Arabidopsis thaliana: one gene and its partners. The protein of the gene in region 2 interacts with the protein of the main gene of each other region in a pairwise test. Each region holds a gene or a part of one and is shown on either strand. Other genes may lie near its edges. The genes, in order: ABI3, BZO2H1, RR18 and bZIP2.

Evidence for each region.
Region 1: the proteins of BZO2H1 (region 2) and ABI3 interact in a two-hybrid assay, tested with the Arabidopsis thaliana proteins (one study listed by BioGRID).
Region 3: the proteins of BZO2H1 (region 2) and RR18 come close enough for resonance energy transfer, tested with the Arabidopsis thaliana proteins (one study listed by BioGRID).
Region 4: the proteins of BZO2H1 (region 2) and bZIP2 interact in binary tests that used the Arabidopsis thaliana proteins (3 or more experiments, as listed by UniProt).

What each region holds. Positions count from the first base shown.
Region 1 is NC_003074.8:8,993,483-9,003,105, forward strand, and holds ABI3 (AP2/B3-like transcriptional factor family protein), read left to right. Parts: upstream 1-3,887; 5' UTR 3,888-4,428; coding exon 4,429-6,108; intron 6,109-6,308; coding exon 6,309-6,401; intron 6,402-6,546; coding exon 6,547-6,647; intron 6,648-6,780; coding exon 6,781-6,827; intron 6,828-6,944; coding exon 6,945-7,021; intron 7,022-7,133; coding exon 7,134-7,298; 3' UTR 7,299-7,703; downstream 7,704-9,623. UniProt on the Arabidopsis thaliana protein: Participates in abscisic acid-regulated gene expression during seed development. Regulates the transcription of SGR1 and SGR2 that are involved in leaf and embryo degreening.
Region 2 is NC_003075.7:1,150,262-1,158,137, reverse strand, and holds BZO2H1 (bZIP transcription factor family protein), read right to left. Parts: upstream 4,185-7,876; 5' UTR 4,108-4,184; coding exon 3,697-4,107; intron 3,609-3,696; coding exon 3,527-3,608; intron 3,181-3,526; coding exon 2,994-3,180; intron 2,913-2,993; coding exon 2,837-2,912; intron 2,761-2,836; coding exon 2,635-2,760; intron 2,546-2,634; coding exon 2,196-2,545; coding exon of another isoform or gene 2,192-2,195; exon of another isoform or gene 2,075-2,191; coding exon 2,053-2,074; 3' UTR 1,782-2,052; downstream 1-1,781. Other genes in the region: AT4G02650 (ENTH/ANTH/VHS superfamily protein), read right to left, coding at 1-836, 915-1,599; AT4G02630 (Protein kinase superfamily protein), read right to left, coding at 4,977-6,455; AT4G02620 (vacuolar ATPase subunit F family protein), read left to right, coding at 7,006-7,068, 7,725-7,806. UniProt on the Arabidopsis thaliana protein: Transcription factor that binds to the C-box-like motif (5'-TGCTGACGTCA-3') and G-box-like motif (5'-CCACGTGGCC-3'), ABRE elements, of gene promoters. Binds to the 5'-ACGT-3' motif of seed storage protein (SSP) encoding gene promoters (e.g.
Region 3 is NC_003076.8:23,499,498-23,507,579, reverse strand, and holds RR18 (response regulator 18), read left to right. Parts: upstream 1-3,410; 5' UTR 3,411-3,429; coding exon 3,430-3,559; intron 3,560-3,648; coding exon 3,649-3,798; intron 3,799-3,865; coding exon 3,866-4,237; intron 4,238-4,366; coding exon 4,367-4,443; intron 4,444-4,539; coding exon 4,540-5,652; intron 5,653-5,729; coding exon 5,730-5,795; 3' UTR 5,796-5,975; downstream 5,976-8,082. Other genes in the region: AT5G58090 (O-Glycosyl hydrolases family 17 protein), read left to right, coding at 387-715, 920-2,024; TIL (temperature-induced lipocalin), read left to right, coding at 6,424-6,798, 6,883-7,068; YKT61 (SNARE-like superfamily protein), read right to left, coding at 7,452-7,502, 7,957-8,043. UniProt on the Arabidopsis thaliana protein: Transcriptional activator that binds specifically to the DNA sequence 5'-[AG]GATT-3'. Functions as a response regulator involved in His-to-Asp phosphorelay signal transduction system.
Region 4 is NC_003071.7:7,895,592-7,902,377, reverse strand, and holds bZIP2 (basic leucine-zipper 2), read left to right. Parts: upstream 1-3,135; 5' UTR 3,136-3,574; coding exon 3,575-4,090; 3' UTR 4,091-4,366; downstream 4,367-6,786. UniProt on the Arabidopsis thaliana protein: Transcription factor that binds to specific DNA sequences in target gene promoters. BZIP2-BZIP63-KIN10 complex binds to the ETFQO promoter to up-regulate its transcription.

The DNA of each region.
Region 1 (9,623 bases), on a different chromosome or scaffold from region 2:
AGTAAAAATACGAAACTTGTCGTGGCTGCCTGTAATTGGACAAAACTAAAGGCTAAGATAAGCCGCAGATTTTTTTTTCTTTACGGAAGGGTTTACGTGTAGCTATATTAGTCGTTAACGGAAAAAACAAATTGTGTAATAATATATAATGAGTTTTAGCACACAAGAAACATAATCTATATATTATAGAGATTATGTTTATAACTTTGCATATGCGTATGCGTACGCATATGTACTGATCTTCTATTTCTTAACCTAAAACTTTTGTATTTGATGCCTTACTATAATTTCCCTGATCATGGACAAAAACATGTTAAGTTTTACTAGATACGTTCTCATCTAACTAGATACGACCTAAAATACGATATTTGTGGTTTTAGTTGTTAGATGTTGTGTCACACGAGAGAAAGAGGTCGACGAAGAAAAAAACAAAAAGAAGAAGTAAAACGTAGTTATTGGCGGACAAGGGATAAAGATTGCTTTGAAGTCAGAAATGCTGACACGTGGCAGCATATGAAGACAACCCGCCGCTTAAAACCACGAATGGTGACGAAAGGCTTCTTTGTTTGCATGTGCAACCAATCTCTCTCTTTCTCTCTGTCTTTACTAATTTTGGTTGTTCGTAGAAAATGAAATATTTGAACGAAGAAGATAAAGGTTGGTGATGTACGTATGACTCTAAATTAGAGTTTGATAATTTGTATGTAAGATTAGATCGGTTTTGTTATTTGCTTGATCCAATTTATTGAAGTACATGTGAATAATCGTGATATATGTCAATATATATGTGCTATAATTAAATCTATTAACAAATTTCTTTTTATCGATTTAGTTACACCATCTTTAATATATTTCTATTTTCTATTTTAAACTAAAGCATAGTTTCTCCAATATATTAATTTATATATTTACTCTAGGATAGAATTAGATTCAAAAACTAGAATAGAGAATATAGATGCTCTAAATAGACAATAATTCTATTACTTACTCTATTTTAGAGTAAAACATATAGTGATGCTGACAAAAATATTATTTTATAATAGAGTTTAGAAAGAAAAGAAAAAACAAAAAAAACTTGAAGATGCTGGAACTATTAAAAATTAAAGAAAAAGTTTAAAATGAATAATGCTTTTTATTCTTAGTTTTTTTTTTCTTTTTTTTCTTTTAGTTGATGTTAAAGTTTTAGTCAAATCTCCAAAATTTGCAAAAAAGATACATTAGTTACGGACGGATATATATTAAATAAATTAAGTCACAAATATCATATATATATATATATATATTAATTTTTTGCCTAGTTTTGTTCCAAATAAAATTTTCAATTTTTAGTGTACAATATTTTTCATCGTCCAAATACACAAACACAACAAATAATAATACCACTAATTTATTTGTTTTCTAATATAATTGAACCTTTTCTAATTTTATTAAATAGGCTGAAAACCATAAATTATTTGGAGCCAAGATTAAATTATGTTACATAAATCCTTTTCTCGTCATCAATACTCAAATTTAAATTTTTTTATTTTCATAGATATTTTTGGGAATTTAAAATCCTTCCAAATAAATTTGGGAAAATAATAGATGTTTTAAAATATTTTTGTTATTTTCGAGTAGTTTACACTGATTTTACATCACTTTATGGATCAAGACCATAAAATTTAACTACATTTATTATAACTTATTTGAAAAGACATGAAACTTTCATTAGAGTTTAGGAAAATACGGCAAACTATTAGATTATCACCCTCTTGTGACTAATGTTAATACTATTTGGTAAAGCAAATAATCCCATAACTAATTTTATTTTGATTTGTTCACTATCAATTGTATCATAGACGATCCGATGATTAATGTACCTAAATTTTGATTTAAATTGTATTCCTTGTAGTACGCATAGTAAAACAAAGTTCACATGTTCTTTTACAATTGGTTTTCTAACATTTTAGATTTCATTTTAAACTAAAGAAAAAGGGTTTTTCGATCCCAACAATTTTTAAAGTATGTTTTTGAATTTCAACAAACGACTAGTACTGATATATACATCAATGCTTACAAAAATCAAATTATCTATCTCAACGTTTACTTTTGTACGTAATTACAAGTCAATATTAACAAATATTAGTCAACTGTAACGGTTGTTGACTCAATTGATACGTGTACGTTTAGGTGGCATGTTTTTTAATAAAATAATTTTGTTTTATGTTTTGGGATTAAAAATATTTACTTTTAAAAAACTAAACCGAAAAACTGGAACCCCCAACCTCACATATTCATCACCATCGTATCCACAAACATTATCGAGACATAAATAATAATTTATAGATATATAGCAACAAATTGGAATTAAATTAATCAAACAATGTCATTTAGAATTGGGGAAATCCTAACCGACGTTATATGATTAATTTTAATTCCAATTTATGTATGTGTATATATCTATAAATTATTATTTATATATTGATGATGTTCGTGCATGATGGTAATGGTAACCTTTAAAACTTTTGAATCTCAAAACGTAAAACAACGTCATTTGGTTTGAAGAACATGCCATCTCGACGTACAAGTGTTAGCTGATTCAACAACCGTTACTGTTAATTACCATAACTAACGTTGACTCATAATTATGTACAAAAGTAAGAGTTGAGGTAGATAATTTGAATTTTTTAAATGTTAAAGTATGAACATTACTAATTGTTTGTTCAGATTTATAAAACACAGTACCTATTTTGATGTGTTAAAATGTAATCGGGAAAATAGGAATTTTCCCAAGAAAAAAAAATACACTAAAATTTTGATGTGTTAAAATGTAATAAATACAAGTACCTATTTCTTTCTACAACAGGTATCACATGATCTGCTCAATCTCATTTTGAAGGCAAGGTCGAACCCTGTTTGTAACTAAATATTTTACAAATACACTAAAAGTTTTGTTTTGTTTTCCTCATGCAGAAAAAAGAAAAGAAAGAAGAAGAAAAAAAACTCACAAAAACATACATTGTTCTACAATATGTTAAAGTAATTGTTCTAGGGTAATAAAATCCGTGTCTGCCTCTTCCACTTCAATAGGAAAGTGTAAGTTTTTCGAATCTTTTTGGCCAGATAATTTAAAACCGACCGAGGAAACTTACTTTTGTAAAAGTGACCATTTGCACATAGGAAGTAGAAAGTTGATAATTGGAAAATTTATAATATTTTATACAAAAGAAGTGTTTAAGAACCACCGCTTGGTCTCACCACTCAAATTCGAACGTATGGCTCGTGGGCACAAACTCCTGTACCAACCTTTAGATACTAGCGGCACGAGGAGACTTCTATTTTCTCTTTGTTTTTAAGTTTTTTTATCGACTTAAATATGGCTTTTTGCACCATTTAATTTCAAAACCAATGTCTTTCTCTCGAGGAACTTTGTTTTTATTTCTTAGAAGATGAGGGGAGATTTACTATCTAAATAAAATTTTAAATGTTTGTAAGTATTATGAGCTCAACAATTTTGTCAATAGTGCCACAAATTTAAACGTTTGCTTTTTGTCTTCTTTGAAAAATCAAATGCTGAAAAACTGTTACATCTCTTTTTCTTAAAAACTCTTGTCTCTCTCCTTTTCCTTCTGCTGAGGTAATTGAATGCTGCAAAGAGAAAGAGAATAACTTAAACCCAAAATTACACTTACCGCCAGAAAAAAAAAAGAGTTCAGTTTAATCTAACATATTTTATACAATACAATTGAATTATATTAGTAAAAAAAAAACTTCCATATAAATCATGGAACAAACTGGAACACATGGGCTCTCTTATTTTAATTTATTTTCTTTTTTGAGGGATTTAACCATGTTTATTATATAGTTTTATAAATATATATATACCATCTCTCCATAATTTATAAAATGAAAGAAAGAGAGAGTCTTCTTGTTGGAGTAAACCCAAACGGTTTTAGATTACTTATTAGCTGTTCATCAGTTCTTCCTCTCTAAAAGAGTAAAACCTAAACATCTCTCTCTGTTCTATTAGAACCAAAGACCAATCTTTGTGAACAAAACACATCTCGTATACTTCAGATCTAGACTCGAAAATTTTAGACCTCTTTACAATTGGTCTTTGTTCATCTGAAGTTGGAGAAAATAGTTAGCTTAGGTCGGATCTTTTCATATGCTTTGGATCCTCCTTCGTCTCTTTTGTATAATTTTAACCTTATCAAGAGTTCTTTTTGAATCTCAAAAGATTATATAGTAGTATAGAAGGTTTATATGTATATGTATAGCCAGATAGTTTATGTTGTTTAAAGATTCGATGATAGCCAAGTTGGGTTAACTTTCTTTTTCCTTGCCTCCTTACTCACATACAAACCCTATCTGTCCGTACAAAATACTAAAAACCCTAACTTTTCTCTCTCCACCAATCTAGTTTATTGTTTCATTTCCACTTCAACGATGAAAAGCTTGCATGTGGCGGCCAACGCCGGAGATCTGGCTGAGGATTGTGGAATACTCGGTGGAGACGCTGATGATACTGTTTTGATGGATGGAATTGATGAAGTTGGTAGAGAGATCTGGTTAGATGACCATGGAGGAGATAATAATCATGTTCATGGTCATCAAGATGATGATTTGATTGTTCATCATGACCCTTCAATCTTCTATGGAGATCTCCCAACGCTTCCTGATTTCCCATGCATGTCGTCTTCATCATCGTCTTCAACATCTCCAGCTCCTGTCAACGCAATCGTCTCCTCAGCCTCTTCTTCTTCGGCAGCTTCTTCCTCCACTTCCTCAGCTGCTTCTTGGGCTATATTGAGATCAGATGGAGAAGATCCGACTCCAAACCAAAACCAATACGCATCAGGAAACTGTGACGACTCTTCTGGTGCATTGCAATCCACAGCTTCCATGGAGATTCCATTAGACAGCAGTCAAGGTTTTGGTTGCGGCGAAGGCGGTGGTGATTGCATTGATATGATGGAGACTTTCGGGTACATGGATCTACTTGATAGCAACGAGTTCTTTGACACCTCAGCTATATTTAGCCAAGACGACGACACGCAAAACCCTAACTTGATGGACCAAACCCTTGAGAGACAAGAAGACCAGGTCGTTGTTCCGATGATGGAGAATAACAGTGGTGGAGACATGCAAATGATGAATTCTTCCTTGGAACAGGACGATGATCTCGCTGCTGTGTTTTTGGAGTGGCTAAAGAACAACAAGGAGACTGTGTCGGCTGAGGATTTGAGGAAAGTAAAGATAAAGAAAGCTACGATTGAATCAGCGGCAAGAAGACTAGGCGGTGGTAAAGAAGCGATGAAGCAGCTTTTAAAGCTGATTCTTGAATGGGTCCAAACTAATCACTTACAAAGAAGACGCACCACCACCACCACCACCAACCTCTCTTATCAACAATCATTCCAACAAGATCCATTTCAAAACCCTAACCCTAATAACAACAACCTAATCCCACCGTCCGACCAAACCTGTTTCTCACCTTCAACATGGGTTCCTCCACCACCACAACAACAAGCTTTTGTCTCGGACCCGGGTTTTGGATACATGCCTGCTCCAAACTATCCGCCACAGCCAGAGTTCCTTCCTTTACTTGAATCTCCACCGTCATGGCCACCACCACCACAGTCTGGTCCCATGCCACATCAACAATTCCCCATGCCGCCAACCTCGCAGTATAATCAATTTGGAGATCCAACAGGTTTCAATGGATACAACATGAATCCGTACCAATATCCTTATGTTCCTGCAGGACAAATGAGAGATCAGAGATTACTCCGTTTGTGTTCCTCAGCAACTAAAGAGGCAAGAAAGAAACGGATGGCGAGACAGAGGAGGTTCTTGTCTCATCACCACAGACATAACAACAACAACAACAACAACAACAATAATCAGCAGAACCAAACCCAAATCGGAGAAACCTGTGCCGCGGTGGCTCCACAACTTAACCCCGTGGCCACAACCGCCACGGGAGGGACCTGGATGTATTGGCCTAATGTCCCGGCAGTGCCGCCTCAATTACCGCCAGTGATGGAGACTCAGTTACCTACCATGGACCGAGCTGGCTCAGCTTCTGCTATGCCACGTCAGCAGGTGGTACCAGATCGCCGGCAGGTAGACATGCACAATCATCTTTCTCATTGTTTATTCTTTAATTTAGCAATACTCGAATAGTTTGTGTAATTGCACCACTCGTTTGGTTTGATGAAGAAGCTAAAGATTTTACATGTGTTTTTTTTGATAAAATGTGAATCGGAAGATTATACATTTGCAATGGAAATGAAATGATTTTGATCTTTTTGGTTTGATTTTAGGGATGGAAACCAGAAAAGAATTTGCGGTTTCTCTTGCAGAAAGTCTTGAAGCAAAGCGACGTGGGTAACCTCGGAAGGATCGTTTTGCCAAAAGTAATTTTTCTTCTAATTTCTTGTAGCCTTTGCTTTCCATTTTCTAAAAAAGGTTCAATGTTTGTGTAAAAATATTGTCAAGTTTTTATTTTATTTTTACTCTTATTGGTTAAGTTATATTTTACTGAATTTTTATTTTTTTTAGAAAGAAGCTGAGACACACTTGCCGGAGCTAGAGGCAAGAGACGGCATCTCTCTGGCCATGGAAGACATCGGAACCTCTCGTGTTTGGAACATGCGCTACAGGTAACTGATTATGATGCTAACATGTTAACATTGATTCTTTTTATAAAAACAATTCGTGTATTTTGTCAAAAATTGGAACTCGACCAAAATGTTTTTTCGGTTATTTAATTGTCTTCTTAAATTGGTTTTGCAGGTTTTGGCCTAACAACAAAAGCAGGATGTATCTCCTCGAGAACACCGGTACGTTTTTGAAAATGTACCCGTTAATAATTTTCCTTTCTTTTGGTTTGTTTGTTCTCTTGTAATTATTGTTGTGGACGCATACATATCTAATTTTCCTTGAAATTACGTTTACAGGCGATTTTGTGAAAACCAATGGGCTCCAAGAAGGTGATTTCATAGTCATATACTCCGACGTCAAATGTGGCAAATATGTAAGAGAAGCATCACAATATTTTTCTATACTTTTCATTAGTATTTAACTCTCATCATTACTTTTGTTGGTATTTATCTTGTCATAATTAATTGAGAATAATATTATGACAGTTGATACGAGGGGTTAAAGTAAGACAACCGAGCGGACAAAAGCCGGAGGCCCCACCGTCGTCAGCAGCTACGAAGAGACAAAACAAGTCGCAAAGGAACATAAACAATAACTCTCCGTCGGCGAATGTGGTGGTCGCTTCACCAACTTCTCAAACTGTTAAATGAAAAACAGAGACAAAAAGAAACAATATAAATATTATTATGTACCAAATAAGAAAGAGGGCAAAAGGAAAAAATGGCAGCGTACCCGAGTGTGCCACTTCTCGTGCATGCATGGGATCTTGAAGACAAATGGAGGGTCATGATTAAAGCTGTTTGGTCGGGGTCCGGGTTTTTACTCCATTTTTTGCTTTTTCTTGTCGAGTCGGTTCTTTTATAACTCTTTACTCTTTTTACCTTCAGGATATTGTAGAGATGATTAATTCTGGAAATGGTGTTTGTGTTATATTTCTGGAGAGATGATTATATAGTTCTTTTGTTGTTGTAATTGGTTAATATTACATATGTGGCTCATTTCTTGAGTCGAGCTTACATATCGTTTATAATGTGAATGTTTTAAGAAGAGTTGAATGATACAATATTTTTACACAAACATTGATAATGATAATAAAAATGATAATTAATGTACAAAATTATTTGTAAATATGGACATATGGACAATTTAAGAAGGAATTGAGATAATTAATTTTGTACATTAATTATCATTATCAATGTACAAAATTATTTGTAAATATGGACATATGGACAATTTAATGATAGTAAAAATGATAATTAATGATAATTAATGTACAAAATGATAATTAATGTACATATGGACATATGTACAAAATTATCCATATCATTCACATATTCACATTGTAAATATTTGTAAATAGAATGTTTACATATGGACATTTTAAGAAGAGTTGTTCCTTACCACTTTGATTCTATCATTTTCTTGTTTATCTAGTTAGCTTGAACCCTTTGTATTATTGAGTAACGAAAATCTTTGGAGGAAAAAAACAAGTGAGGTAGGATTATAATTTTCCTCATATAAGTGTGTTGTTTGTGATACATCATTATTCTTTCTTATTTTTGGTTAAACCCAAAAACTGGACCGCACCTAAGGAATTGAGATATTCAAAAAAACAATGATCTGACCCGTGCCAAATATCCACACCACACCTTTCTCCATTCAGGCCCTACTAGAAAGCCGTGAGACGGTTGACAACTTGAAAACAAAAGACTTATAATGAGACTATGAGAAACAAAAAAGAAAGTGGAGTTGATGAAATAATCTGATCTTATGAAAGTGAAGTTGATTACAAAAGGAGCAGCGTGGTAGTTGAATAGTTTCAGATGTTGATAAAGACGTGACATACATAGTTGTCTCAGTAATCTAATCAAGGACTCCTCATGTTTCTAACTTCTTCTTCTATAAAGTTGCATGAGATTTATATCTGGAGAACATATATTGCTCTAATTATGTGGTCTTATTATCATCAATATATGCCTTTTTCTACATATGAATATATGATCGACATGTATAGATATTTTTTGTTGTTCAAAAAAAAAAAATGTATAGATATTTTTTTCATTTTCCAAAAGGATTGAATTTCGAAATGGTGTAGCCACCTTAGAGGTATACAACAATAAATAATTTTCCCGACTTGTAACAAATGTTTGGAACAAAAGTGTCAATTAGAATCAAAGTAACCATCAGATGCCTTTTATAAATTTCTTTATCTATGATTATTTTTTAACCAAATTCAGACACTTCTATATTACTAAAAGCCAAACTTGATATCTATTTCAACAAAAAAATTTTTTTTTAGTCTGCTGTGACTCAGTATATCTAATTGTTTTCACATCATTCATAAACTTTTACTAGTCCATTGTAAAATACAGTATATTAGAAATTGTTTTCCTATCTATATATGCTTAGGTTTAAGAAAACAACTTTTGGCCATGAATATTTGAGTTTTTAAGTGGTTTTGGATTATAGATTTTGCCAAAAGGAAAAAATATTGATTTAAAATTACAAAAAGAAATCTGCAAACAATTATCAAAAACTCATTAAAGTGGGATTTATTTTTCATTTTGTTTACAAAAATGCGAACTCTAATCTTGATTGGATAATTAAATGGGTTTTTGGAAAACCAATAACTATGCTATAAAGTATAAACTACTACCATTCAAGCCTTCTATTTTTCTATGCCAAAAAATACTACGCAAAAAAAATTGAGCGTGTTTGATCCAACAATAAAACAAATTACTCAATCTTGTTTGATGTCAAAATCCAAATCCAAAATATGTTTCGGACACCTGACCGGTCTACTCGATTGACACCCCTGAAATTTCGAAATAGACAATACACAAAAGGACATAGACAACATAACTTCATCTCACTTAGATATTCACATTTCCCATTTTTCAAAATATTGGCTCTTCATTTTCTGTGTACTTCCAACAAATTGTCTTCTAGAGAAACCAAAACTATCTAAGATTTCT
Region 2 (7,876 bases):
CACACTACTAGCACTTCCACTACTTCCATAAGCCGTAGACGTTTTAACCGCAGCATTAACCGCACCGTACTGATACATTCCATCAAGCAACAAAGTATCAAATCCTCCTCCGAGCTCACTCTTTTGTCCCGACAATCTTGTCGCCGATCTCACCAAGTCCGTCTCCCAATCCGCCGAATTATCGTTAAACGCTTCCCACCCCGGTCCAGACGCACTCTCGGTCCCAACGACACCATCAAATAACGCTAACGCCAAACTATCACCAACCGTTCCTGCCGTTACACCCGCTTCATCTGTTAAATCCAGCAAATCACCCTCTTGATCTTGTCTTGAAACCACTTCTTCAACATCTTTCTTTGTTTCCATTTTCTCTTCTTCTTCCTCTTCTTCTTTCTGTTCCGGTGCGGGTAATGCTTTGATGGAGTTTAAATCTTCTTGATTTTCTTGAATATACTCTGTTTTGCTCTCCTCCTCCTCAGATTTGTTAGACCTTTTTGATGATGATTTTGTTGTTTGTGCAGCTAAAGCTGATTTATCTCTTATAAACTCATCCATGAGATCAAGTTTCTTCTGTGTAATCTTTTCCAATTCTGGATACTCTGAAGATCTTGCAACTGCCATGTTCTTACACCATCCGTAAAACGGATCTAACTCGTCAAACTGTTTAGAAACTCGACAGAAGATTTCATAGACTTTGATGGAATCATGAATGTCTAATTCCATGAATCGCTCTATTAATACTCCCATGATCTCTGTTATATTGTAGTATAACTGAAAACTCTCTTTTACTATCGGATACATAGCCACAATCACCACTCTGTTGTTCTTCGCATTACCTGTTGCAAAAGACCTAACTTATTAACCAAGAAATCCGAAAGTGGAAAAGCGTGTGTTCCAAGGAAATTAATTATTACCTGTTGGACGACAAGCCAAGAACCGATCAAGAAGCTGTTGTAAATGTTGTACTCTGTTGAAGATTTTCTCTGTTTTCATCTCTGCGACTGGTTTAGATTTAACCACAATAGCTTTCGACCGAATATCGTTGCTTGTCCCTCGATGATCATCTTCCTCGCCGGAATCACCATCACCGCCACCACCACCACCACTTTTTTTTTTCCCTCGTCTTCCTTGCATCCGGTAATCAAGACGTTCATCCAAATACAAAGCATAAGTCCGAACAAAAGCAGAGTAATCCCACGAATCAGACTGACTCGCATCTCTGAAATCAGACATGTTAAGCAATCTCGTTCCTCGTCTCGTCGCGAAGAAGATCTCTTGCTCGTAGGCTCTATCTCCATCTGTTAGCAACCGTTGGATCAAAATCAAGGTTTTGAGAGCAACCGACCAGTTCTTGGTCTTGTTGAGCCGTCGCGAGAGAGTTGCCACACAAGCGCTTACGTAATTGCGTGAGTAAGAAGTTAGGCATAAAATCTCTCTAATGTACTTGTCCTCCGCTGGATAGTCATCATGTCGCGTCGCTTTCACGACAGCTATTTCGAGTTCCGTTAAAGAACTGCTTCGACCACCGACTTTGGCTAATCCTACGCTTGTTTGATCTTTCACGGCTCCTATGGCACGTTTTAGCTTACTTGAACCCATTTTGACTTACGTACGCCGTTAAACAGAGGAAGAGAGAGGAGAAAAAAATTGGAAGAACGACGACTTTTTTCTTTCACTTGTTTGTCGTCGTCTCTTTTTCTCCTCTGTTTTTTTTTTTTGTGTTTTCTGACGAGAAAATGTGAATGCTTGATCGATCTACCATGGAAATCGCCGAGGTTGTCGGAATTTAATGATAGGGGAAATTAGTAAAGCCATGTGAGCTATCTTTTTTAAAATTGGATAAAAACAGATATACACTCTGTTATTAGCTATAAATAGAAAGACGATTCTCAAATAAGAATCTTGTAATGTTATAAGACAGAGCTTATATATATATATAAGCCATGAGACTGTATTTTCACAAGATGTTTTCTCATGATTCGTAACTTAATAACACTTACAAATTACAGATGCATAGACATTAATATAGTGCGAAACCCGCTTCTTGTTTGATCAGTCCACGCATTTTTTCGGCCTGTAAAATGAGCAAAAAAAGGGGAGACAGGAATCTGATATGTATAAACAGGGATCATAGTACTTCAAATGGTTTTAAATTGTTCAATGGTCTTAAAAGAAAGAGCCATGTTTTAGCTTACCATGCTGAATCGTTCTGAGGTTCGGTATTCCAGCCATACGGGTTGGCGCTTGGAGTAACATGGTGATTTTGCCCATTTCTAATTCTCTGCAAGGGAGAGCTGGTTTGGGATGGAGGAGCAGCGAAATTGTTTCCGAGTCTTGGAGGTAGAATGGTTGGGATCCCGATGTTTTGGTTTGACATATGGTTTAGGTTTGAGTGTGGTTGATAAGCTGGAATAATGCTAGAAGAATCCATCCTGTTGTTACCAGTTATTGGCATTCTGTTGTTGTTGTTATGTCCACTTGATCTTCCGAGAAGCATCGGATTCATTCCTGTTACTCTCTTCACGGTTTCTTCCGCCATTTTCACCTTAACATAACATGGGAGTTACTAAAACTGTATACAAAAAAAGGGTAGTTCAGAAAAAGGAGAGGAGGATAATACTTAAGTCTTCTTACCTTAGCTCTTAATGTCTCAATGTCAGCCTTTAGTATTCTATTGCCAACAGCAGCCTCGTCATACTTGTGATTCATGTTGCTCAGTTGTTTAAGAAGTGATGAATGCTCACCTTTTAGATCATTAACCTATCAAAATACAAATTAGGTCTCATTAATATCCTTCAACACAAAAATGAGGTGTTGAGAGGATACAACACAAAACCTGTGTTTCGAGGTCACTTGTTTGCTCCTGCTTTCTCCTTCTAGATCGCCTAGCTGACTCACGATTTGACAGCATCCTACAAATATTAAAAGGAAGAACAAGGCTCTATAAATGTAATCTTCAAACGACAAGAAATTGGAGAAAAAGTAATGATTACCTTCTAGATTTTTTAACGTCCTCTGGCTTCAAGGAACCGGTGGTTTCATTCTCTTCATCAAGGTCCTCGTCATCAGAATATTCTCTCGACGATCCACTAGTAACCTGCTTCATTGATACACCAGTTTTTTTCACCTCAGCTGGTAAGGAAGAAGTAACACCAAGTTCTCCTGGGGTCATCAAAGAACCTACCACGATTAAAACTTACTATGTCTAAGACTCAGAAGAGATATCTGAAAGAGAAAGACGAGCGCTGAAATAATGATTTCCCATATATTGAACTAACCACCAGAACTCATCTCAATCCCAAGCTTATTGTTCTTCCAGAAAGCAGTTTAATTTCAATGAGAAAGTCAGTCACAAAAAGATTGAAACTTGACGGATAAAACTAGGCGCTTGATCCAACAAAAGTACCATTTTCTATTTCTAATTCCTTAACCTAGGCATCTAAATTAACAAACACAGAACAGAGAAACGAATCTGCAGGTTTATCATCGCTCATCTATCCTGGTGAAACTAAGAAGAGACTCTTACCTTGAGTAAGAGGACTGGATTGAACTGGTTGAAGTTGAGTTTCTGGAGAACTAGTCGAATCTTCAGGCTTCACAGACCCAACCTAAGAAGAGAACATCAGAGCTTCAGATTTAGATCAAAACGCACAAATTACACATATAGATAAGAAAAATAGAAGATTAACAACACACCCGAAGAGAAACAACAGTAGCGCACTCAGTCTCAAGCTTGTTCTTAAGAACACGACGATAATCATCGGAATCAACAATCACCGTCTTCGTCGTCATGGGAGCAGCACAATCCAAATTTCCCGAATCGCGATCACGAAATCGACTATCATCCTCGAAATCATTCTGTCCGGAAACAGAAGGAAGAGATTGCGCCGAAGAAACACCGACGATCGCGTTGTTGTTGTTACCAAGTGGCTCAGAGCTCACCGCCGACGAAGAAATCTCTTCGAGAAACATCTCGAAAGTCCATTCCGGTTGACTCTGGCTAACTTCATCCGCCGTAACAGGCTTAGAAGAGTCGGGATTGAGAGGAATCGGAGGAGTTTCCCAGAAAGGATCGGAGAAATCGTCAATGGAGAAGATACTGTTCATCGCTCGCTCTCTTTTTCACTTTCTGATTCTTCTTTTTTTGTCGGTACTTTGCCTATTTGCATTTAGGTCCACCCACACAAGTATATTCTCTTTTTTTATTACGTACAATAAAATAAACATTTTTTCTTACACATTTCTGTTTTATTTCTTTACAATATTCTTTGAATAGTTTTTATAATTTAAATATCTATTGTATAACGTCCACTAATGTTTACATGAAAAAACGTAACAGTTTTTGCAAACATTGTTATTTAATTATTCTTCAAAGTTTGATTTATTCAATGAACAACGAAGTTGACATAAAACATTAGATTATATTTTAATTTATAAAAAAATACTATATTATACTGGTCATTAAAAATTTATAAAATGTCACCAGAAGCTAAACAAATAAATCACTAAGCTATATTACAAATTTACAATAGACAAGCCTAAATTATAAAAAAAAAATATATGGAGTTTTTTAAAAATCTAAATTTACCACAAAAAGCTTCTAAAAATAATTAACGAACTAGATCATTTTTTCGCGCCATATGTAAATTTAAACAGTCATTTTCAATTTTCATATATATGGAATTTACTCTCTATTTCTTTTTGACCTTAACATAGTGTCACCAATACCACAAATCACCACTATGTAGGCTATATTACAATAGAGAACGAACCAAAAGAATACAAAAAAACAAACCATATATATATTTTTCAAGCAATCCCCAGTTTTAATTATTGCAAAATTACAAGAATCTACACACATTTTTTTTTTTTTTGTGAAAGGGCTAAGAATCTACACACATAAATATACACACACAAGAAAAAACTTCTAAAAATAGTAATACAAAATTATAATGCCAAAGCTTCTTTCTTTTTTACTAGTTCTGCTTATTCTCCAAAGCTAATTGGTCATTGTTGATCAGAACAGAATTACCACTCTCATCCTCTGATTCATTCACATTTGTCTTCCTCCGCGGTGACCTTCCCTGTTCTATTCCTCCTCCTCCTCCTCCAGAGTTTCTCCGATCATCTTTAGAGACCAAGTCCTCAGCTTCAAGCATATGAATGATATGACCCATTTTTGGCCTCTTTTGAGCATTAGGATCAACACATCTTAAAGCTACCAAAAGGGTACGCTTCAATGACCTTAACGACGGTTTATCAACCATCCTCGGATCCAAAACTCCTTCCGCATCTCGATTCGTCACCAATCTCTTCAACCATTCCACAAGATTCACTTCTCCCGGAGCCCGGCTATAATCCACAGGACTTCTCCCTGAAATAATCTCCATAACAAGAACACCGAAGCTATAAACATCGCTCCTCTCATTCAACATTCCGGTACTCGCGTATTCAGGAGCCACATACCCAAACGTACCCATCACACGAGTAGTCACATAGCTCATCTCCGAACCCAAGAGCTTAGCTAACCCAAAGTCAGAAACTTTCGAGTTCCATTGCTTGTCAAGCAAGATATTACTCGATTTAATATCTCGGTGAACAACTTTAGGCTCAAGACCTTCGTGTAAATACATTAACCCTTTGGCTGTTCCAAGAACAATGTTCATCCTAATCTCCCAAGTAAGAGGACTCTTAAACCCCAAACCACCACCATGAATCCATTGTTCTAAATTCCCATTATCAACATACTCGTAAACTAACATCCTATGAGCTCCTTCAACGCAATAACCAAGCAATCTCACCAGATTCTTGTGTCTTACGCGTCCAATAGCTTCGACTTCGACTTTAAATTCTTTCTCAGCTTGTCCTCTGTTGTTGAGCAGATTCTTTATAGCCACCATTGATTTATCCTCAAGAACACCTCTATACACAATCCCATAACCTCCTTGTCCAATCACATTCTCGTCAGCAAATCCATTAGTAGAAACCTCAAGCTCTCTCAACGTATACCAATGTCCCCAACCTAAATGAGAAACCTCAGGACCCGACAACATAAGTAAACCCTGATCACCCGACCCGGACCCAGACCCGGAACCAGTCCAACCTCCTCGTTCCGGGTACGCAATCCGATGATCTTTACCAATTTCGATGTGAATTTTGTTATCGTCTTCTCTTTGTTGGTTTTGGTGTGGCTCCGGTGTTGGGTCGGGTTGAATTGGAGGTCGAATCTCTTGAATCTCCTTGGAAACAACGGGAACAATCGTATGGTTAGATTTAGAAGAAGACTCAAGAGATTTGTTCTTGTTGCTTCGTCGGTAAATGAACCAGAGAGAGATGAGAACGAGTAAAAGAACGATCGCGGCTCCAACGCAAACGCCGAGAACAACCCATAAACGTAAACCAAAAATGGAAGTGTGTCTCGAGAGCTGATTGTTGACTGAGTGAGAATCCGCCATTGCAGCTCACTGACTCTTCTTCTTCTTCTTCTTCCTCTGACTCTCTCTTTTTGCTTTTGTTCTGCTTCACATATAATAATCATCACAGGAGGTTTTTCTGAAGTAGAGACAAGAAAAGAGATGTCGAAAAGACAAACGTACCCTCGAAGAGGCAAGCTGGCTTTGATGGGACTTGCACTCATCATTATTTTTAGTATATATTTACACTTTTGCCACTTTTACTGTTAATGAGCAATTATTAAAGGAGGGTAGTATCGTTATTAAAGGTATAGTCAGGGGTAATATTGTCAATTGAATCGTGTTCTGAACAAGTTTTTTTTTTGCGCGTGGTCTTTGGTTGTGATTTACACAAATCTATCTATCAAATCAAATCGAAGAAGGAGAGAAGAACAGAGAAAAAGAGGTAATGAGTAAAATCTATGAGCTTTTGCTTTATCTTCGAATCTAAGATCAGGAATTGATCAGGGTTTTTACCCAATTTCGATAATTGTCTTCTTCGCTGGATTGATTTTTGTTCTGGAATTGTTTATCGTGTGTAGTTGAATCAAATATGGCTGGGAGAGCTACGATCCCTGCTCGCAACTCTGCCCTCATCGCAATGATCGCCGATGAGGTAAATTCGTTACCAAAAAACTCATCTTTTTATATGTTGATGAAGGATTTGAGGTTCCATTAGTTTGATTCTTTAGATAATTTTGATTTTTCATTTGGATCTTCTGTGTTGAGTTTTGAATCTCTGAGATGTGATCTGAACTAAATCAATGCGTTGTTTGTATAGATTTATTTATCCGTAAACTGCTTGACTTTTTGGATTTGTTTGTGGAATTTTTAATCTTTTTGGTAGTGATTCAAGCCTTAGAATAGCTTTGTCCGTAGTTCTGTGTATTTCTTGATTTGGGATCAGACCAAATCTGCAGATGATCTGATCTGCTATTACTGAATTTTGATTTCAGCACGAATCAGGAAACTAAGGAGTAGAAATCTTCCTAGAAACTGTATTAACATTGAATAACAAGAGGTTTAGGTTTTTTAATGTTAGTCTTCACAACTGTTCTGGCTTAACAATTGGATTTACTCCATTGTATTCTATCAGAAAATCATGTCTAGTCTCTTATTTTAGACTTAACTTGCATTTTCTTCCTTGTACAACGACTTGTTACTGGCAGACACTTAATTGGCCAATGGTGGCAGAATTGTTTGGAACTATCCGTTGATATAACCCTTTAGCAATCTTCAATGCCACTTACAAGACTTAAATTTTGTGTACAGGACACTGTTGTTGGATTTTTGATGGCTGGAGTTGGTAATGTTGACATAAGGAGGAAGACAAATTACCTCATCGTGGATTCAAGTATGTTTTTCTAACTCAATATGATCTTGAGGAAAGATAATCTTTTCAATCATGAATCAAGTTATGTCAC
Region 3 (8,082 bases), on a different chromosome or scaffold from region 2:
GATTATTTTCAAGAAATGGGCTTGCGATACAAAAGCCCACCTTATCCGTAATGACTCTATGAGAGCACTAAAGAGACAATATAAACTGATTGATTATTTTCAAGATATGGGCCTGTGATACAAAAGCCCACATTATCCGTAATGACTTTTGAGAAGACCGAACTAAAACAGTTTAGACTTTAAAGACATCGTTTGACGCGTAGCTTACGTGTCATTTTTTGTCGTTATGGGGTTGCCAAAAAGCAGCGGCACTCGCTCGTGCGTGGCCGCTTTAAAACCCACTGGTCTGGAGGAAATAGTACCAGCTAAGCTCGCAGCTCAAAGCTCAGTGTTTAATAATTGTATAGCTTTTTTGGTGAACGAAGAGTCAGATCGGCGAGCCTGAGATGGGTTGGGGTTCGGTGTTGCTATTACTGGCGGTGGCTCTTCTTTGTCAGAGGGCAAGTTCAATCGGAGCTAACTGGGGCACACAGGCGTCGCACCCACTTCCACCGGACATAGTTGTGCGGATGCTAAGAGAGAATGGTATTCAGAAAGTAAAGCTCTTTGACGCCGAATACGACACTCTCAGAGCTTTGGGCAAATCCGGAATCGAAGTCATGGTTGGTATTCCCAATGAGATGCTTGCGACTCTCGCCTCTAGCCTGAAAGCTGCTGAGAAATGGGTTGCTAAAAATGTCTCTACTCACATCTCCACCGACAACGTCAACATCAGGTACTTCCTCTGTTTCTTTCCTTTATTAGGGTTTCACATTTGTACTGTACTAGCTGGTTAATTGGAATCAGTGACTGAGTTTGGATTCCCTAAACAGTTACTAGCCATGCCTGAAATTACGGGCTACTGTCTTTTTCTGAGATAATTCTACACAAATCTCTAGAGTAGGTGCTAAATTGATGCTGTGATTTGGTTGTTGGACAGATATGTGGCTGTTGGGAATGAACCTTTCTTGTCTACTTATAATGGGAGCTATCTGAGTACTACTTTCCCTGCGTTGAGGAACATCCAAATTGCAATTATAAAGGCTGGCCTTCAGAACCAAGTGAAGGTCACTTGTCCCTTGAACGCTGATGTCTATGACAGCTCCACCACTTTTCCTTCTGGAGGGGACTTCAGGGCCAATATCCGTGACCTCATGATCACTATCGTCAAGTTCTTGAGCGAAAATGGCGGTCCTTTCACTGTTAACATCTACCCTTACATCAGTCTTTACACCAACCCCGATTTCCCAGTTGATTACGCCTTCTTTGACGGCAATGCACAGCCCCTGAACGATGGTGGGACTTTTTATTACAACATGTTTGATGCAAATTACGACACCCTAGTCCACGCGTTGGAGAAGAATGGGTTTGGTAACATGCCTATCATTATTGGGGAAATTGGTTGGCCTACTGATGGGGACAGTAATGCGAATTTGGACTACGCTAAGAAGTTCAACCAAGGCTTTATGGCTCACATCTCAGGGGGGAAAGGGACTCCGAGGAGACCTGGCCCTATCGATGCATACCTGTTCAGCTTGATAGACGAGGACGCCAAGAGTGTTCAGCCAGGATACTTTGAGCGACACTGGGGGATATTCACATTTGACGGCTTACCAAAATATGCCTTGAACCTAGGGACAACGAACACAGGAGCTCTGATCCAGGCCAAAGGGGTACGCTACCTAGAGAGGAAGTGGTGTGTGATGAAGCCAAATGTGAGGTTGGATGATCCGCAGGTAGCTCCAGCCGTGAGCTACGCGTGTAGCCTTGGGGACTGTACTAGTCTTGGGGTTGGGACGTCCTGTGCTAATCTTGACGGGAAACAAAACATATCGTATGCATTCAACAGTTATTATCAGATACAGGATCAGCTTGATACAGCTTGTAAGTTCCCAAACATATCAGAGGTGACCAAGACAGATCCATCTACTGGAACTTGCAGATTTCCGATTATGATAGAACCTTACTACGGTGGGGCAGCCCGGGAACACGGGTTCTTTTTCCCACTACTGATGGTGGCAGCCATCGCAGTCTCTATTTTTTGATGGTTTCTTCTTGTCAATTTGTAATTCTGTGTGATGGCTTGAACTATTTTTTTTTCTTCTTGAATTCTGATTTCTCTTCCTTAGACCAAGTGATTATTAGAGCTGTTTTCTGGGACCAAACTGACCTTAAAACAATGCCATATTGCCATGTTCAATAAATCAGGCCCAAATGAGCATTTGAATTTGTACTATAGTAGTTGGGAAAGTCTATTGCGCTCTCTTTCTCCCTGGAGCTCTGTTTCATAAATGCTGGAGAGACTGTCCTTTTGTTGTTTTAGACATCTATAGTACTACAGATTTGTACAACTTCCAATTCTTCATATGAAGTTTCCCTTTCTCCTTGCTCTCGTTCTTCTAGATAGGAAACTAGGAGACGATTATCTAATTTCTTAATCTTTGAGTCCAATTGGCACTATGCACCACTCCAAAAAATAGTCTTTGATCTGATTTCCACTACCACAGAGACTTATTTCCAGTTTCCTTCCATTTGAAGAAATCGAATGGTAATAATAATCTGAGTATAAGAAGATCACAGAGTTGTCGATTTCTTCAAATGGAAGGAAACTGGAAAATAAGTCTCTGTGGTAGTGGAAATCAGATCAAAGACTATTTTTTGGAGTGGTGCATAGTTCCAAGGGTTTGGTGATGGATAAAGTTAAGACTGTTGGAGACTCATCAGCAACAATCATCTGTGACGCAGTTTTCACATTGGTTGTGATTTCAGATAGAATAATCAAGAAAATGGCAGAGTAATCACAAGTATGACGATTGACTAAGAATGTGGAGTAATAAGAGTCGACGGATTCGAATGCCTGAATGTGATCAGGTCAGTCCATTGCATTTGTCGAATTCTCTTTTTTTTTGGAACTGAGACCATACGCGTTATGTCAAAAATCAGATTTTTTTTGTTTTGTTTTGGTGCATTCACTTAGAAGACTAAAAAGGAAAAACATTTCTATGGAAAATAGGAAATGCATATATATAAGGAAAGCCAGGAAAGGTTGAAACGTTGGGTTTGAACGTTTATTTGCGAGTAAGGAAACAAAATGGGGACATTTACATTCACTTTACGAAAAGTTTGTCTTTTGTGCTCAGATAAGGCAAGATTCAACCAACAAAAGAGAAATTAGAGGAACATGTGACTCTCTCCACGTCCTCATTTATGGAAATATGAGCAGAAACAGAAGGAAATTTCTAATTATTTGGAGAATTAAGGGCCAGATTAACCGCGTAATCACTCTCTCTTTTGGGCCACTCGTCTTTATCTTTTTACATTTGTCTATAGGAGGACTATGGTCTTCTTCTAGTCCCAAACTTGAGGTTTTAAGAATAAAACAGATCAGATTTTAGTCTATGTACTATATTCCTTTGAAGAGAGGAGACTTGCAAACGTATTGCATCAAATATGGAGTTTGGAAGCACTGAAGATGGAAGGCATGACAAGTTTCCTGTAGGAATGAGGGTTCTTGCTGTGGATGACAATCCAACCTGCCTTCGGAAACTCGAAGAGTTGCTGCTTCGTTGCAAGTATCATGGTACTACATATTCTTTGCTTTTGTTTTTTTTTACCTGTCTGCTTCGGAATTGGGGTGCATGGTCAATGATGTTTGATTGATTACGCCAGTGACAAAGACAATGGAGTCGAGGAAAGCTCTGGAAATGCTGAGAGAAAACAGCAACATGTTTGATCTGGTGATAAGCGATGTAGAGATGCCAGACACGGATGGTTTTAAGTTGCTTGAAATTGGTCTTGAAATGGACCTTCCTGTCATCAGTACGTCTCCTACCATTGTTTTTCATATCAACTCTAGCCCTTATTGTAACCTGCTTCATTGTCTCAGTGTTGTCAGCTCATAGCGACTATGACAGCGTTATGAAAGGTATTATACATGGCGCTTGCGATTATCTGGTCAAGCCTGTTGGACTCAAGGAGCTTCAGAATATATGGCATCATGTTGTGAAGAAGAACATTAAATCTTACGCAAAACTGCTCCCACCTTCTGAATCTGATTCCGTCCCAAGCGCCAGCAGGAAACGGAAAGACAAAGTCAATGACAGTGGTGATGAAGATGACAGTGACAGAGAAGAGGATGATGGTGAGGGGAGTGAACAGGATGGTGACGGGTCAGGTACGCGGAAGAAGCCACGTGTTGTTTGGTCTCAGGAGCTTCACCAGAAGTTTGTCAGTGCCGTTCAGCAATTGGGCCTCGACAGTGAGTTTCCCCATAGACCTCTTTAAACCTTTCCTTATGTGTGATGTCCACTCTTGTTTCTCCTATAGAGTTATTTTGATGCTTTCATGTGTGGGATCCTCTTTTCATTTCTCCTTGTGTTCATCACAGAGGCTGTTCCCAAAAAAATACTTGATCTCATGAGTATAGAAGGTCTCACTAGGGAAAACGTAGCCAGTCATTTGCAGGTACTAATTCCCCATTCTCTCTTGCATTTTTCCCCTTCTTTCGCAAATATAATCTTGGATGGTTAGACTTGTTTTATTCTCTGGTTTTGGTTGCAGAAGTACAGACTGTACTTGAAAAAGATAGACGAAGGTCAGCAGCAAAATATGACCCCAGATGCATTTGGAACAAGAGATTCATCTTACTTTCAGATGGCTCAACTTGATGGACTTAGAGATTTTACTGCCGCAAGACAAATTCCAAGCTCAGGACTCTTATCGCGTTCCCATCTCACCAAACTCCAACCCCCTATGTATTCATCGATAAATCTCCAAGGAATGAACTCCTCCAGCTTCATCCAACAGGGGCATCACCAGAACTCAAGCAATTCAGCTAATCCGTTTGGAACATATCACAGTACTCTGTCACCAAGAATCCAGAACGTGAATCTGTTTCAGCGAACTTCATCTCCACTAGAACCCCTCCAGTTTCCTAGAAGCAAGTCATACATTGGAGATTTTAAAGGCTTAGGGGACAGAGCTATTGGCGGTAGCTTCCTAGATACTTGTATGCCATTTGGTAGCTCTAGCACCTCTTTACCAAGTGCTTCCACCAATCCTCTAATGTTGCAAGCAAACTATACACAACCCCTGCATATAGCCTCAGATGGAATTCAGCCTTGCATCGAGGGAACTCCGTCCAACTCTGCCTCCCCAAACATCAGTTTCCAAGGCTTATCTAGATTTCCTGGTCATAGCTGGCAAGGGAATTTGAACACAACCAGATTCCCACCGAGTTCCTTACCACTAAATCTTGCTTTCTTGCCGGATCAAGTGACATGTGCAGGGAACAATCTGGGAGATTGTACTTCTTTGGTTTCTGCAGAGAATCCTGGTGGAGAGATGCAGTGTGATCCTCAATTACTTGGCGGCTTCATGCAGAACGTGAATCCGTTAGGCGGACAGAAATGGGAGCAACAGAACTGCACCATGCTGAACAATCCATTCGGTAACATTGAGTATCCTCTACCCGCAGATAACATGGTTTTCAGAGACAACAATTCAACCAGAAGCAAAGGCTTGGATGAGTCACTGATGAACCCAATAGACAACAGTCAAGAGTATGTTGGAAAAGCTACTACAATGCTGGATCCAGAGATGAAGTCGGGAAAGCCAGAGAATGACAACCAGCATGATGTATTCGATGACATAATGAATGAGATGATGAAACAGGTAACGCGGTTGTTTTCTTGATTGGATTAAAAGCTTTTGTAGTTTGTAGAAAATGAAAGTGAATGTGTTTGTTGCAGGAGGAGAATAACGGAATGGTGCCAGTGGCTACTAGATTTGGCTTTGATTCATTTCCTCCACCTTAGCTAGTCATCTCTTTCTCTACCAGTTGCATTAAGTTTCTCCACTTGAGACCATTTTCATGTGATTTTTTTAAATTTCTTCCCACATTGTTTCCTCCGACTGTCAATAGATCATAGTACACCAACCTGTTTCATACTCTCTTTTATGAATTGGAATTGAAAGCGAGCCTGTTACAAAAATTTATTTTATAAAGTTTCTGAATAAGTGTTGTTATTCAAAACCAATATACGAATAGTAATGGGCCTAATTGAGATCGTTGGTTTACATATGGAGCTATTTTGAAGTGTCAACAAGAAGAGATATTTAGATGTCGATAGGATAATTTGGTGGGGCCTAGAAACGGCTAGAGGAAGTCAAATCAAAATGTGACTGTATGGCCCATTGTATTGTATCCTTCTTCCCACAGAACAAGGAAGACATTTGTGTCCTCCACCTTTATTCACATTTGTAACTGCTAGACGCTACTAGAACCCTTGCCCTACACGCTTTCCACGTGGCATCCTCTCGTCCCAGCGAAATCTCCTTGATATTATTTTTTTATTTCCTTATAAAGAACAGAATCTCTTCTTATCCTTTTACCTCAAAGAAAACATCGAAATCTTAGAGAAGAAGAAAAGAAAAAGAAGAGAAATGACAGAGAAGAAAGAGATGGAAGTGGTGAAAGGGCTCAACGTGGAGAGATACATGGGCCGTTGGTACGAGATTGCTTCTTTCCCATCAAGGTTTCAGCCAAAGAACGGCGTCGACACTCGCGCCACCTACACCCTTAACCCCGACGGTACCATACACGTCTTGAACGAAACGTGGAGCAACGGGAAGAGGGGTTTTATCGAAGGCAGCGCCTATAAGGCCGATCCTAAAAGCGACGAAGCCAAGCTCAAAGTCAAGTTCTATGTCCCTCCTTTCCTCCCAATCATTCCCGTCACCGGAGACTACTGGGTGCTCTACATCGATCCTGACTACCAGCACGCTCTCATTGGCCAGCCTTCCAGGAGTTATCTCTGGGTTGGTACTCTTTTTTTTTTCTCTTTAACGAATAATCGAAATTGATCCCAAAAATGATTGACTCTGTATATGTGGGTGGTGTAGATATTGAGCAGGACGGCGCAAATGGAGGAAGAGACGTATAAGCAGCTGGTGGAGAAGGCAGTGGAGGAAGGTTATGACATCAGCAAGCTTCACAAGACTCCTCAGAGTGACACACCACCTGAGTCCAACACTGCCCCTGAAGACTCCAAGGGCGTTTGGTGGTTCAAATCTCTCTTCGGCAAATAGATTACACGGCACACAAAGACTTTGTTTCACCTCTTTGATCCTTTTGTCTGTGTAATATACTACCCCCTTTGTCTACTCTAGTTATCTTCCATCATCTGCTTTTGTCTATTTACGACATCTTCATCTAGTTATGCAAAGTCGTCTCTTTTACCATAAGGAAGCGCACACAAATTCAATCAGATCAAATCTGGGAAAGACAATTCAAATCTTGCAGAAGTTGACATTATGTATTTGGATAAACACACCACACGACTCGAGACTTATGGAATCAAAATAATGCATGCAAACTACAGACGGAATTATATGTATAGATAAGACGATAGAAAAAACAGTCTCCCCCCAGCAAAAGTTTGGTTGACTATATACCCAGCAGGACTTCCAGCTCACAGAATAGTACAGCATGAATTTGTTTTCTTCGCTTGCTTGTAAAACATCTGTTCCAACCAATACAACCAAATCAGATTTTCATGTTGGAAGTAAACATGGTTTACCTAATCTAAATAACGAAGAATATCTTGAGATTCCAGAGGATATGACTAATACATATGTTCCTCCCCATGGTCAGATGATATAGCAAAAAACACTATGATTCTTCGTAGCAAACCTAATAATTCCAAAATCCAACTGTATAGTTCAAACTGCACTCAAATGTCTGCAGGCTGAAGCAGAAAGCTTTTTCAAAGAAGGTATTCTAAATCCACATTCTTCCTCTATTTATCTACCCCAACAATAACATGCAATAGTTCCTCTATCAATCAACAACACTTATAAGCCTGCTAAATCAACAACCCTTTCTAACGTGTTCACCAACTATGCTCAGAGATCGAGACAGGGAAAAAAGGAAACTAAATCTATAAGAATTTCTAGAATGTGACTTTAGAATGTTACCTGTGATGCCATGCTCAAATCTGAGCTCTTCTCCACTAGGCTGTCCAGCTTCTCACCACGGGCTAGAACACTATCAATGGTTTTATGCTACAATACAGAACAAAAAATCAGTCTTACGGAGACAGG
Region 4 (6,786 bases), on a different chromosome or scaffold from region 2:
TATCGCATCCGTGAACAGTACTAGAAATCTACATTATAATGTTGCTTAATGCCTATATATTACTATTAACATGACCATACATGCAGATTTTAATTATATCTAATTTGCAAAGTGGATATGCTAGTGGTACTTTCACAAATCTTAACAAAGAATTGAACCATTCGAACATTAAACAAAATGTTTTAAAGGAGTGTTATGCCATATTTTGATGGCCCCTTCCGACCTAACTTTGCATTGTCTTAACTTTATTATCATGAAAACCTAGTTAGTATATTTTTCCATTGTTAAAACTTGATACGTAAACCGGGACGTCATTCATTAAAGCAAAACACTTAAAACTTGAATATATAACAATAATACAATTTCTGACAAAGAAAGATTCCCCGAATACATGGTGGAGAATTAAATTGTGGGAAATATTTTAAAACCGTACTTTTCTTTAAATACCAGAAAATATTTACAAAGCCTTTTTTAAAGAAATTTTATTTAAAAAAGATTGTGATGGTTTTTTGGAAAATAAAAATTATATTCTATAATTTTCGTCTTAAATTAATAAATTTACTAATTTGTATATCTTTTTTTTATAATGTATTTTACATATCTTTCTAAATAAACTTATGTTTGAGTGATTTTACCTAACACTAATGGCCAATTAGAAATTAGTCGTCATTTCATCATCGATTAGGGACTGATTTTGATAGATTATCAATATTTTATACAATTAAAAAATGGCTATGAAGTTCCAGAAGAGATGAGCTATATGGACCCATGTGCTTATTGTCCCCTGCATCTGCTTAGAGGTTAAGTGTTAATCACCTTTATTTATATATGTTTAATACTTAATTATTTTTCTTTCGCCAATCTCATAATTAATTAGGTTTAAATTAAAACTGGAACTTTGACGTGTATTAAGAGCCGCTCATTGAGAACATGGATTGTGCAATGCACGTGGTTTCGTACGGTGCAGATCTACAAAAGAGATTCTGCGTCAAAGACGGTGTCGTGCACTGTTGTTGTCTAAATTTTGTAGGCGGTGAAATTATGAAAGTTGTCTACTAACGGTAACTAAATTAACTACCAACGGTAAATAAATTTTGTCTCAGGTGAAGGGAAATTATTAAATTTGTCTAGCCTTTTTACCCGCTATAAGTTACTATTCAGCGTGGGACGAAAAAAAAAAAAATTACTACTCAGCGTGGTGTGCCGACATAAAAATAATTACTCGTGTAAAAGAAAATAAAAACTATGAAATACTTGAAGTCGTACTATTAAATTATAATTTCCTTGGTTAATATCATCGCTGTATCAAAATTTAGATTTAAAATATGATCAATGATATAATTTAAAATATATATATAACGTATGATAAAACGATCAACTTACATTGTTAAGTGTTTCTAGAGCATTTTAAAAACATATTCTATAATTTCATATATAACATTTTGTTCATAAAACTTAGGTAAATTTGATCTCGAATCTTTAAAACAACCAAAATATTGTCCACAAAAATTCGGTGTAATATTGAAGGTTGTTGTTGTTCATGTTCTTGATTACTTTTCAATTCTCTACATTTTTACATATTGTTTCATTTAGAAAAGGAGTTGGTTGAATTGTGGTTTATCACTTAATTTTTATTATTTATATGTAATTTATTTTTAATATAAGGTTTTATTAATTAATTTGCCTGTAGTATTGTTTTAATGTATGTTTATAGTTATTCATCAAACAATTGTGATCAATATAAAGATTATCCGACCGTTAGACTCGTCACAGGAAATTTTTCTGAAGTTGAATTTCAAAAGCTCAAACAATTAAAACGCGTAATGATAAGTGTTGTAAAATGTTATAGAATTAAATTTAAAATTGTAAACAAAAAGATATACAAATAAAGAAATGATGTTGATGATGATAGTGCTTTATTTTCTTATATTTTTTGTGTGTCTTTACCAATAAGAAAAGAATAATCCATTTTTATAGATATGAAAATTTAGTAAATCAATTGAAATTATTACAAATGATGTAGTGTAGTTATTTTGAAAATGGAGTAAACATTATCTGTAGAATATGAATTAATGATACGTGTTACATGTATTAGACATTCATTGGATTTGTAACAATTTATAAATAATTAGAAACATACTTCAGATTTATCTCTTATAACTATATTATAACTTTTTCTAACAATTTGTGACAGTTTTCGTTTCATTTTAGTTCTTACCTTCAGTAAGATCAGCTTTTATTTTGTGTTAAACAAATTCAACAACTCGTACAAACACTTTATGAGACTTTTCAATAATTAAGACGAACAACAATGATCTAGTACACACAAATTAGATACTAACATTTTTAGTTCGAAATCATTTACTAAATTCAAAATTTTGATATCAATCACATGGCTCGAAATTACTGTATTAGATTGAAATATCAGAGCACATATCAATCCCACAAATCCTCATGAATTTACTTAATCCACATACTTTAAATTTTATTTTTAAATATTCTATATTTTCTTAAAATGTTGGCTGAAATAATGTTTTACAAAATTTTATTTCGTTGGAAAATTATTAAATTTATCACCTTCCTATTTGATATCACTTTTAATTCACCAATTGTATGTATCAAAATATTCAAAGCCATTGACTGAATTAATGGCAACAAAAATTATCAAAGATTTTCTGTAATTCCTACATTGACTACATGCAATTTTCAAGACATTGACTATTTTCAATAGTTTTCACTCTTTTTAATCTTGATATCTGGTCAACTTTTACCACCTACCTATTTGTCTATCCTACTACATATCATTAATCACACCATTAAACCACACAAATCTATACTTACCATTAATATTTTTCTTTTGAATACCAAAAAAACAATCAAAAAGTAAAGTGTCATTACCAAAAAAATAAAAAAGCAACATCCACCTACTGACCTACATATTTTTTTTAATAAAATTATAATGAATCATTTTGTTAGTAAAAAATAAAAATGATAAAACAATGGGCGCGTAAACGATTCCAGCTTTCCCCACCATCCATTATTTCCCAAAAAATCAAAATAAATTAAAAAGACACAAGTGGATGCTTGAGATTTGGTTTCTATATAATCCATAACACACCCTTCATCAAAAACCTCTTTCCCATTCACTCATCTTCTCTTCCTTATCTCCTTAAAAATCTTCTGCTGTTTTCTTTTTTATATTTAGAGCTCCTCTGTTTCTTCTCCAATAACCAAAAAAAAAAAAAAACTCTTCCTCTGTTTGTTTTCAAGTTCTGACATCATAAATTCAGACCGAGAAAACATAAAAATTTGAGTCTTTTGATGATCGGAAACTGATGACTCCCGTTCTCTGCGAAATCCTGCTCTCTGGGCTCACGGTCAAATCTGCTCTCTGCCGTAGAACCCATCTCGTTCAATCTTTCTCCGTCGTCTTCCTCTACTGGTTTTACAACGTTTCATGAATTGCTACAAACTCTAATTAATTTTTTCAGACAGATCATAAAAAAAAACCAAACATAAAACATAAAACTCTGTCCTTTTTTTGTCTTCTTGTAACTTTTCTTGTTAAAAATCAATGGCGTCATCTAGCAGCACATACCGGAGCTCAAGCTCTTCCGACGGTGGTAATAATAACCCGTCGGACTCCGTCGTCACCGTCGACGAACGAAAACGTAAAAGAATGTTATCGAACAGAGAATCTGCACGTAGGTCAAGGATGCGTAAACAGAAACACGTTGATGATCTAACGGCTCAGATCAATCAGCTATCAAACGACAACCGTCAGATCTTGAACAGCCTCACCGTAACATCTCAGCTTTACATGAAGATCCAAGCCGAGAACTCTGTTCTCACCGCTCAGATGGAGGAGCTTAGCACCAGACTCCAATCTCTCAACGAGATCGTTGATCTTGTTCAATCCAACGGTGCAGGATTTGGTGTTGACCAGATCGACGGCTGTGGTTTTGATGATCGTACGGTTGGGATCGACGGATATTACGATGATATGAATATGATGAGTAATGTTAATCATTGGGGTGGTTCGGTTTACACTAACCAACCCATTATGGCTAATGATATCAATATGTATTGATTAATAAAATTAATTAAAATAATTAGATGCCCCTTTTTTGTCTTTTTATTTTAAAATTTAGCCCATTTTGGTGTTTTTGGGTTGGTGTGATGATGTAATTATAGTACATGCATCTTTGATTGGTTGGAAGGATAAATATAAACTTTATATATATATTGGGGCATATATATATGAGTTGTACTTTGTCATGTATTGGTGTGTGTTTTGTTATAATTATATGATTATATATGTTTATGTTATCATGATTTTGTCTTTCACCTTAATATTCCAATTGTTTATTCGGATAATGGTTTGTTTATGCTTCGAGAAAAGCAACTTTTTGGATTGGTAATTTTTAAGAATGAAAAAAATCACATTTTGGATTGATGATTATATATATATATATATATAAGCTGCATTTACAATTAAGTTTTGGTTTTTCTGCAAATAACAATAAAAAGGAACTTCTAGATAACATGTCAAATCTACCAAGTCAAATTTCACCTGTAATATAATTCGTTGTCAGCAACGTAAGTGCTAAATAATGATCAATTATATAACAAATAGAGTTCCTTGCGACTAGGAGAAATTTATCATAATGTATGTGAAAAATAAAAGATCTTCAAACATATATATGATGCTTATATGTTTAGAGGGTTTTGTTGCAAGAACCCATCATTTTAATATAAGATTATGGTTTTTTTAGTTAAAACACAGATGAGCAAATCTTAGGTGTATGATAATTATTTAGAAATGTATTAAAACCTTCGTCAGTCAAACATTTTTGCTTAAAAGTATCATTCATACAAAAGGACATAAATTTAAAATTCAATGATTTTTCCTTTTTTTCAAATGTAATAACACCAGTGATAAAGTTTATTGTACGAACGCAAAACGTTCATATTAATGATGGTATCTTGAAGATTTATTTGTATTTATTACATATGTGGCCAAGAAAACATATAACGTCAATTTAGTTTTATTGCTTTTGCATTTATCTTTTCTAAGAATCTCTATGAATATATTGTATTATAGATATATATTGTGTATATTATATAATCTATATTTTTTTTTTTAATATTAGATGTTTCAGGGTCAGGGCATATGAACGTAATCTATTCTTTTTTTTAAGAAAGCAAACTTTTTCCAACACGAATTTAATCCGTGACTTCAAACATTTCCATATTTACGGTACACTTGTATTATTGTGAGTGAATATGGTTTATGTTTATCCTTTATCTTTTTGAATCTTATTATATATAAAAAGGTTGGTGTTGTGTCTTTACGATTTTAATCTTAACTTTATGTTATATGAAGACATATATGAAAACGATATATAAACACCAACAAAATAAAAATAATCATTATTGGATGTCCTATTCTCTTCTCGTATATGTGAAGCTTTACACTTGCTGAAAATTATTGGCTGTTTCTTCTGATTTGTTCAATATATATATATATATATATATATATATATATATATAAATGATCTCATCACAAACGATGGGCTATTATTTTTCGTATATGACATGAGACAATTATTAGGTATGCCTATATATGAATGAGCACTTTTGTTTGTTTGCCTGTGTTAAAGATCCAGAAGAGTGTACTGATGGGTACACATGTGATTCATAAGCATTTCGCATTTTTCACCTCAATACACATAAATAAAACACTTTTGTACGCCTTTTTGAAATAAGATAACTTTTATGGAACAAAACAAAATGTAATAAAGCAACAAACAAGGATTATGGATAAATGACACATACAGTGTTGTATCTTCGATAATATTAAGTTCTACACCATGCCGTGGATAGTCCATGATTTAATACCGTTTTGTCGATATATTAGGGATGACTTACACACGTAAAATCAAAGAGTGATATGTTAAGGATGAGCACATGTAACATTGAAGAGCCTATGAGTTTTATTAGAGAGCGTTCACAATGAATTTTAGTGTTTGAGCTAGTTATTGATTCATTCTAAAGATAATTAGTTTTTGAGGATGTTAAAGATGAACACATAAAATCGGAGCGACTATGAGCCTTGGAGAGCTCACTTAGGGTTGTATTGTTTGAGACAGAGTTATTTTTTGTCTAAATATACTAAGAATTTTTGTTGTTTCCATTTTGGTTCATCACTATCTAAGTCTATTTAGCCCATATTGTTCTAAGGAACAATAGACTTAGATAGTGATGAATCAAAATGGAAACAACAAAAATTAATGAAGTTTAGACAAAAAATAATGTATTAATATATTCATAATTATGCTTTATTCAGCCCATATTGTTCTAAGCTTAATGAAGTTTGGCCCACTTAGTTATTGTTTGTACACTTCTTATAGAGGCTGGCTCAAGTTATTTTTGGGCATTGTGCCCACTGCCCATTTAAAGAAAATTCTGAAAACTGTTCATAATATAAAATCATAGGAAACACTACAACTATAAATATGTACTTAACCCTAAGATACTTCTGATGAGAGCAATAACATTGTCGTTCAATTTTATATCAATCCTCACTCGATCATGGTATATCAGAGTTATAATTATCTAACAATCGGTTACATTCCTGTTTTTAAGCCATGTACTTCTACTTTTTATATTTGTTTTAACCCAATTGCTTCCAATATTCAAGTTCATCATAACCTCTGAATTAAGCCAAAGTACTTCCATAATTCAAGTCTATAATATACCTCGCAATCAACCCAAATTGCTTCT